Linked DNA regions of Canis lupus familiaris. The protein of the gene in region 1 purifies or fractionates together with the protein of each later gene. This does not show direct contact. Links are inferred from orthologs where the notes say so. Each region holds a gene or a part of one and is shown on either strand. Other genes may lie near its edges. The genes, in order: GAN and NUDCD3.

What was found.
Region 2: the proteins of GAN (region 1) and NUDCD3 purify together in Homo sapiens (co-immunoprecipitation; 3 studies listed by BioGRID and IntAct, counting the BioPlex papers as one, with this or other methods). This does not show direct contact. The link is inferred for Canis lupus familiaris from reciprocal best matches to the Homo sapiens genes GAN and NUDCD3.

What each region holds. Positions count from the first base shown.
Region 1 is NC_049226.1:71,108,676-71,112,491, forward strand, and holds part of GAN (gigaxonin), read right to left. Parts: intron 1,644-3,816; coding exon 1,293-1,643; intron 1-1,292. UniProt on the Homo sapiens protein: Probable cytoskeletal component that directly or indirectly plays an important role in neurofilament architecture.
Region 2 is NC_049237.1:14,211,227-14,215,042, reverse strand, and holds part of NUDCD3 (nudC domain-containing protein 3), read right to left. Parts: intron 847-3,816; coding exon 703-846; intron 122-702; exon of another isoform or gene 1-121.

The DNA.
Region 1 (3,816 bases):
AGGGTGAAGAACTACCTCTTGTTTCCCTGGCAACCTCATCCCTAGAAGAAAGGAAGAGACAGCTAGTGACCGTGGTCTCTATGAACAGCAGTGAATCCAGAACTCTCTTATCCTCTTTCCTTATCTACCCAATGAACGTGGAAAACCAATGCTAGCTGTGCTAACTATGCCAAGACTACTATCATATGGGAGTGTGTATTTCTATATCATTACAGATCTAACAGTTTCCATCTCTATTACAGTAGCTCATAGTTCCTAAATAGGCTGATAGAATTTTAACAGTTACAAGATATTCACTAAAACCTACATCAACAGCTGCTGAGAATGATTAACAATGCAATTATACATTTTAAAACTACTCTAAAACCTTCTTATTTTGAATATAGTAGTTGAAGCTGGTGTCTATAAATACCAGACTTAAAGGTCTGTGATTTTGCCCCCTCCCACACTGTAGTAATAGTTTAGCTCTAAAGCCTGATAATTCTGAGACCCTTCCTTCCCAGTTGTTGCTCCCACAACCTTCCCATCTGGAAATTGCATTGCCACATTACAGAGTGATCTCCTGCTTTGTGCTGAGTGGTATCAATCACTCCCGGGAGAGCCCATACCACAGAGGTTTCTGAGGTCCACTCCCCTCACTCCTCTGCCAGAGCGGTGTGTGCCCCCTCTCACTCTGCTGCCTATATCAGAGTTCCTGCATGGGTCACCAGTAATGATACAGGGATGGATGCTGAACAAGACAGTGGGGACAATGAATTTCTATAATCCACACCTCAAGCTTGAAATTAATTTTCCCACTAAAGGCAATGCACAAACAATATTATGTTCCTTACAAGTATTAATATTTTTATTGCTATGAGTTACATGAGCTTTTATAGTCTGGTCTGAAAAAAACAACCACTTCAATGATACTATGCAAAGATGTACCACAGACATCTTTTATTTTCTTAAGAGATTTTATTATTTGACAGAGAGAGAGAGAGAAAGAGACATCACGTAGGGGGAGGGGCAGAGAGAGGAGAGAGAGAGAATCCCAAGTCGGGAGGGTGGGGCCTGATGCAGGGCTTGATCTCATGACCCTGAGATCATGACCTGGGCCAAAATCAAGAGTTGGAGGCCAGTCGACTGAGCCAGCCAGGTGCCCCCAGACATCTTTTAGATCACAACTTTGTAAGCCTTTCAAGTTGAAGGGGAGAGACAGAACACCTATACTTTGGACTAAATAAATGAAGGAATGAATGGAATAAGTAAGTAAAAAGGCAAAGTCAGACCATGTTATAAACCACAGGTACCTTTCTTAGTTCTGTATCATGTGCTATCCATCGAATTACTGCTTCAAACACATATCTTTCGTTGCCAACATTTAACTTCTCGAGAGAAATCACTTCTTTAAGTTTCTGAGGACTGAGTTCTAAGAATTCTTCTGTGCTGCTGACATCTCGGAAATGAGTCTCCAGGTATTCTGTGGCAAGGTAATGGACATGGTGCAGGCAGTAGTGGAGTGCAAAGTCGCGGATGCCAATGCAGTTCTCAGCGGCAATGCAGCCTTCCAAAAACTCACAGCACAGAGTTTTAAGATCCGTCAGCAGGAGCAAGTCTGCTGCCTGTACAACATCTTGGATTGTATCTTCATTCAGCCGGATCTGCAGGAGTATCACAAATACTTTACATTTCAATATATGTATTAAAGCCCAAACTGCTAACCTATTAGGTGGAACTACATGAAAGTTCCACTTTTGTAGGTCAAAGATGATCAAATATTGGCAATTTCACACAGTCCAACCTAGGTCATCTTTTTCAAAAGGAGTTTGAGGGCACCGGTGAATCTTCAAACCATGTGAACAGAATATGGCCGGTTGAGTTTTCCCAGCACTTTCCTTGCTTTACCAACATTAACTATCATGAACCCTTCCTGGGTACACTGTCCATATTGTTTACTTCTAGGCCTTAGTGCCTGAAATGCTTATTAGGAGGTGGACAGTTCTCCTTTCTGTGGTAAACTAAAGGGAGTTCTTTAAATACTAGCACTGGAACTGTGGCAAATCTTGCCTCTAGATATATACCACGTTCCATTTTTTGCCAGATGGCCTGCCAGACACACCACATCAGCCCCTTGGAGAAGGGAGGGCCATGCTGCCCAAGGACCTCATTCCAAATGCCAAACTGCATTCAGTGCAACACGTACACTCTGGTCTCAAATCTACTTTCTGGAAGGAACTCCTAAGGTAAGATTTCTTGTTTATCGTTATGAACTTCACTTTTCCTTAATCTTCTAATGCTTCTTCATCCACCCACTTCAGTTTTTGCAGGCAACACTAAGGCAATTTAAAGAAACAAGCCTCTAGAATATTACCACAATCACAATGGTCAGACTCTTCTTTCCCAAAGAATGGGCAGTTGTCCTACACTTGAAAATGTGAAGGAGAGGTTCCAGGGTACAGTACAGCAAGAAACATTTTGCCACATTTTATATATTGTGTACCGCAGATATAGAAAAAAATGTATGACTGCCAATCACCTTATAAACTGAGCAACAAAACTGTGGAAAGAAGTGTGTCGAGTAAGTCACAAGTAAGAAAAAATTTCTTGTTTACTTGACATATTAAATTCAGCCACAAAACAGTGATAGCTGTACACCAGTCAGGTACAGGCATGTGAGAAAATCACTACATTCCATCCTGATAAAACTAAACTGCCAGATAAGGAGTTTGTTATAATTTATGTTGCAACTACGGTTTTAAACCATAATTAATTTTTTTGTTTATTTTTTTCTTAAACCATAATTAATTTAAATTGGGAACAAAACACAGAAGTCAACCTGTAAATAAGGTTTCAAGATTCAAATCCAAGCCTGAACAGGTATATGCAATTACTGGCTTACGAGTTGTTATAGCTGCTGCTGAACTGATTTTAAAAGTTAGATAAGAGGATTGGTCCTCAGTCTAGTTTCCTGATGCTTCTGAGTATCTTCAGTATTTTAAGGACTGTCCCAAAATTAATCTAAATGCATTCATTTTTAACAATCATACATATAACCTTACATGCACCACCCACCACCTAGTGTTCAGAGAAAAGGAAGGAATAGTGTCATGAAATTAACCCAAAAGCTTCAAAAAGAATGACAATCACCAAAGTTGACTGAATGAATGTATCCAGAGAAGGCAAGCAGTACATTTAGGATACTTAGGAAACACGTAGGATGAGGCTCTCACAAATGAGAAAGGTAAAGTAAGATGAGGAAGGAATAAGGGAGAGAACAGGAAAGAAGCTCTCAAAAAGAGTAAAGATAAAATGCATTCTCACATCACCACACGTAAGATACACTAACCTCTTCCTGTTAAAAAGCTAGTTCTGGTTCAACCTAAGATTATTCTTAAGAGCCCTCATGTTATACTTTAAATCATAAAATCAGGGGTTGGGGGCTTGAGGATGGCAAAGAAAAAGAAAGTCTCATTATTTATAACCTTCTTCCCTGGGTTTCATTAAATCCCCAGCAAAATAGGTGGGCACAGAGAGTAAAGGGACATCAGCAAGAATGGGATGCAACCGGGATATTGGTCCTACTGAAGCAACAGTACCCAGGCATCACAAATACAATGCAGGTGCCTGTCATATGCGAGAATCTCAAACTCTTTTTTTTTTTTTTCTATAAAACAATTCCCTCTGCCCAAGGAAGCTCCCCTTTCCAAGCTATGGGGTACAGAGCAAGATGGGAATTAAGGTTTAGAGACAGCTATGAAAGGTGATCCCAGTTCCTTTCTATCTCATGATGGAAGGTGGAGCTTGGAATGATAAATACAAAAACTGGGACTGGTT
Region 2 (3,816 bases), on another chromosome or scaffold:
ACAGCCCTCCAGTCAGCATGGACAGGCTGCTCACTGGTACCCATCCCACGAAGATGAAACTGAAACATTTCTTCCTTTTCCTTCCTTCCTCATATGAATAAAAGTGTTTCTGTAAAATCCTGAGATTTTTGTTCAAAGACCTGGTCTGTTCCCACTGCCCTGCACCCTCTCTCCAGGCCCGAGTCAGGCACCTTTTGCCATATGAGGCCCCCTGGGCACTGCCCACTGACCGGGTGGCAAGGCTTCGAGGAGGCCGAATGAGCCTCTGAAGATGCCGGTGACAAGAGCACTTAGGCAGCCCGCTTGGCCTGTGCAGCCCCAAGTAGCTCAGCCAGCTGAGACTCCTTTGTCAAATAAGCTGGTCTATCTGAACCTGTTCACTCTGCATCCTCCAGGAGGAAATCCATGACATTCAATCTGCCTTTCAATTTTCCACTTATCTGGTTCTGCCTCAGATGTAACCAAGTCGCCAGCGAGTGGAAGCCTCTGGGACTGGGAGGAACATCCTGCACAAGCACAGCCGAGCTCTGGGGATGACCCTGCCAGGAGCTCCTGTCATCACTGTGTGCGGTTTCCACGTGGGCACAAGGACAGAGGACCACTGAGTTTCACATTCCCACTGGCTCCACTTCAGAGAACCAACTGGTAGGACCCCACGCCCCTTTCTCCTCCTGGAGTGCCCACACAGACACCCACACTCACCAGGACGCACTTCCCAGGCTCCAGGCTCCAGAGAGAGCTCTCGGTGTTGACCTTGTGGGTGAATTTCCCTTCCATGAGGACGTGCTCCCCATTCTCCTCCAGCACAGCCACCCGGATGGAGCTGCTGCTGAGGGCCACCGAGACCTGGAACCGAGCAGAGGGGTGTCACTCTGTGCTGTGAAGGTGGCACCCAGTGCGCTCCCAAGAAGGAGAGAACTAGAAGCCAGGCCATCCTGGAAGAAGCAGGCATTCTGGGAGAAAAGAATCCCACCAACCAGGGACACTGGAAGCAGCAGCCTGTGCTCCACGGTCTCCTTCAAGTAAACATCCTAGAAGTTCTGTTTCAACATGGATAATGAAGACGCAGGCAAACTGCTGGTTTTCCACCCAAATCCCTTCTCCATCAGGGCAGACCAATATCCATGGCGGAAAGCAAGCCTGGCGGGCGCAGGTGGGGGTGTGCCTCCCACCGAGTCTAGCTGTCGCGGCCCCCTGGGTAGCACAGCTCCGCAGGGTGCCAGGAGGGCCAGGCCACACCCCCACACGCCTGCTCTGCCTCCGTCCCCGTCCGTCCGTGAGAAGCTGTGCCTTCGCCAGGGGCACTGAGCTGGCTCCTCTGGTTTCATAGTTTCTCTGTTCTCGAGAAACCCAGCCTCTCAGCTCACACTTGTCATGCATAGTCTCTCCCCTCTGCCCCACATCTGTCCCCAGCACCATATGGGAGCTGCTGGGACCCTGGCCCACAGCATCCAAAGCTCGTGAAGCCCTGGACGTTATTCAGATCAGAAACTGGAAGAGGAAAGCAAGTACAACTCCAGTTTCTCTTTCACTTCTTTTTAAACTCTAAAATCTGTGTCTATACTGTAATATCTTTTTATGATAGCATCTGCATAATGCGTGCATTCAATGAACAGACACTGGAAGGGACACCTCAGGCCCAAGGGTGGGGTTCCATCTGCTTTTGTTTGGAGACTACCCTCCCACATGGCTTGTAAGTACTCATTAAACACTCAGAAAGTATTGAACAGAAACTCTAAGTGTCCCAGAATATTCAAGCTCTGCTCCCATAACCTAATTGTATCGTAAATCTCGAGTAAAAGATGGGACAGTGGAAGGGGTGCTGTTCCAGAGTCCCCACCATCAGGTGGCTCTCAGGCGAGAGAGGAAGAGTTCCTGAACCGTGGGGGGAATGGGGACAAAAGCGCTGCTACAGAGCAGAGTGGCCCACAGACCACACCATGCCCACACACAGGGGCTGGGGCGTCCTGTGGGCACAGCTGCCCCCATACCAACCTCTGGGGGTGTCCTATTCACTCGGTCAGCGTGGCAAAGACACGCACACAAGCCAGCTTTACTTGGCATCCAACAGCCAACTCGGCAGCAGCCCAGCAGACTCCTGGGCCACCATGTCTCTGACCATGAACTTGGGCATGCGGTGGAGGCACTCCAGGAGCAAGCTCACTTTAATAAAATCCTCCCCGCTAGCTTTACATAACATGGTTATTTCCAAATTTGGGCAAGTTCTCACAGTGAGTCTTGCACAACAGCGGACAAGCCAAAGCACCGAGGGGACCTGGAGAGATGCTTCCAGTTCAAGGTGACGGTGCCCCAGCCTCTGGGACCCATGGAAAAAAAGCAAGCACAAGGAGAAAAATCCCAGACAACACAAGGGAGGAGGAGACGAAGGAGAAGAGCGTGGGGACAGGCAGGACAGAGCAGGAACAAGCAAGTGGTCTGCTGGTGTGCATCTGGGAGCCTCGGCTGCACGGGCAGCTGGCGGGCAGTCAGGTGGGAGGGCAGGAGCGGAGCGGTCAGAGCAGCCCCAAGACCGCAGTGGCATAGACCAAGGGGTCTGTCTAGCACTCTGAGGGGACAGTGTGGGTGGTGGGACCCACGTGCTGTCAGGAAAGCTGCCCGGTTGAGCCCTCAGCAGCCGTAGAGGAGCAGATCTCTGACATAAAACAGAGAAAACCATCCATACCGCCCTTATTCAAAAGAATGAGGAAAATATGTTTTTTAATTAAAAAACTACCAGGGAACTAAGAATTGAATCCTTAAACCAGCAGCATTAAAAAAAAAAAAAAAAAAAAAAAAGACTACAGATTTAGGAAAAAAGGAAATTCTAAAGTATTTCCAGTATATATCCTTAGAGAGGTGTGAGCGGTTTGACTATGGAACCAAAATGAAATGTGAAAATAGAACAATCACACACACCCCACTCAGAATTAAATACACAGAAGCTAAAATAAAATCTGCAACAGAAAGACTGTTAAAGTAAAAAAACTATCAAGATAGAGACAAAGACCAATCTAGGTGATCGGGGTGGCTGGCTAGAAACCACACGCAGCAGCAAGATAACACTCCGGAGTCGAAAACGTGCTTTTGGACAAAACCCACCAAGGGCTGAACAGAACGAGGGAAAAAGGACTCACACAAACTTATGGACTCCTAATATTCAAATTATTCAAATTAAGGTCCTAAAAGTTGCAAAGACCAGGGATAAAAGTTCCCTCACAAAGAACCTGAATGGAAGAGATCTCAAGAAACAGTAGCACTGGACATAAGACAAAAGGGAGGCAAGGCCCTCAATCTTCTAAGGGGAGAATTTTTTTAGATTTCCATACACAACCAAACCATGAAATAAATATGTTTAAAATAACTACATTAAAAAAAAAAAAACTACATTTTAAGACATTCAAGAGTCCTGTATTTACAATATATTGTAAATATATTTTTGAAGGAGCTATAGTTCCTTCAAAACTTTAAAACTTGAGAAAGCTCCTTGAGGCTATAGTCCAGCAAAATGAGAAAAAAAAAAAAAAAAAAACTAAACCAGAGGAAGATCTCAGGGGGAGGGAGGGTCAAAGGCACAAACTTCCAGGAAGAAGGTCAACGAGGCCTGGATCTCCTGCATCACATGGTGACCGCAGCTCACGACACTGTACCCATGCATGGGAAAGTTACTAAGAAAGTAGAACTCACTCTTATCACACACACACACACACACACACACACAAACGTATGGTGACAAATATAAACTAAACCTATTGTGATCATTTTGTAATACAGACATCAAAGCGTTGTTATACACCTGAAGCTAATACAGTGCCATAG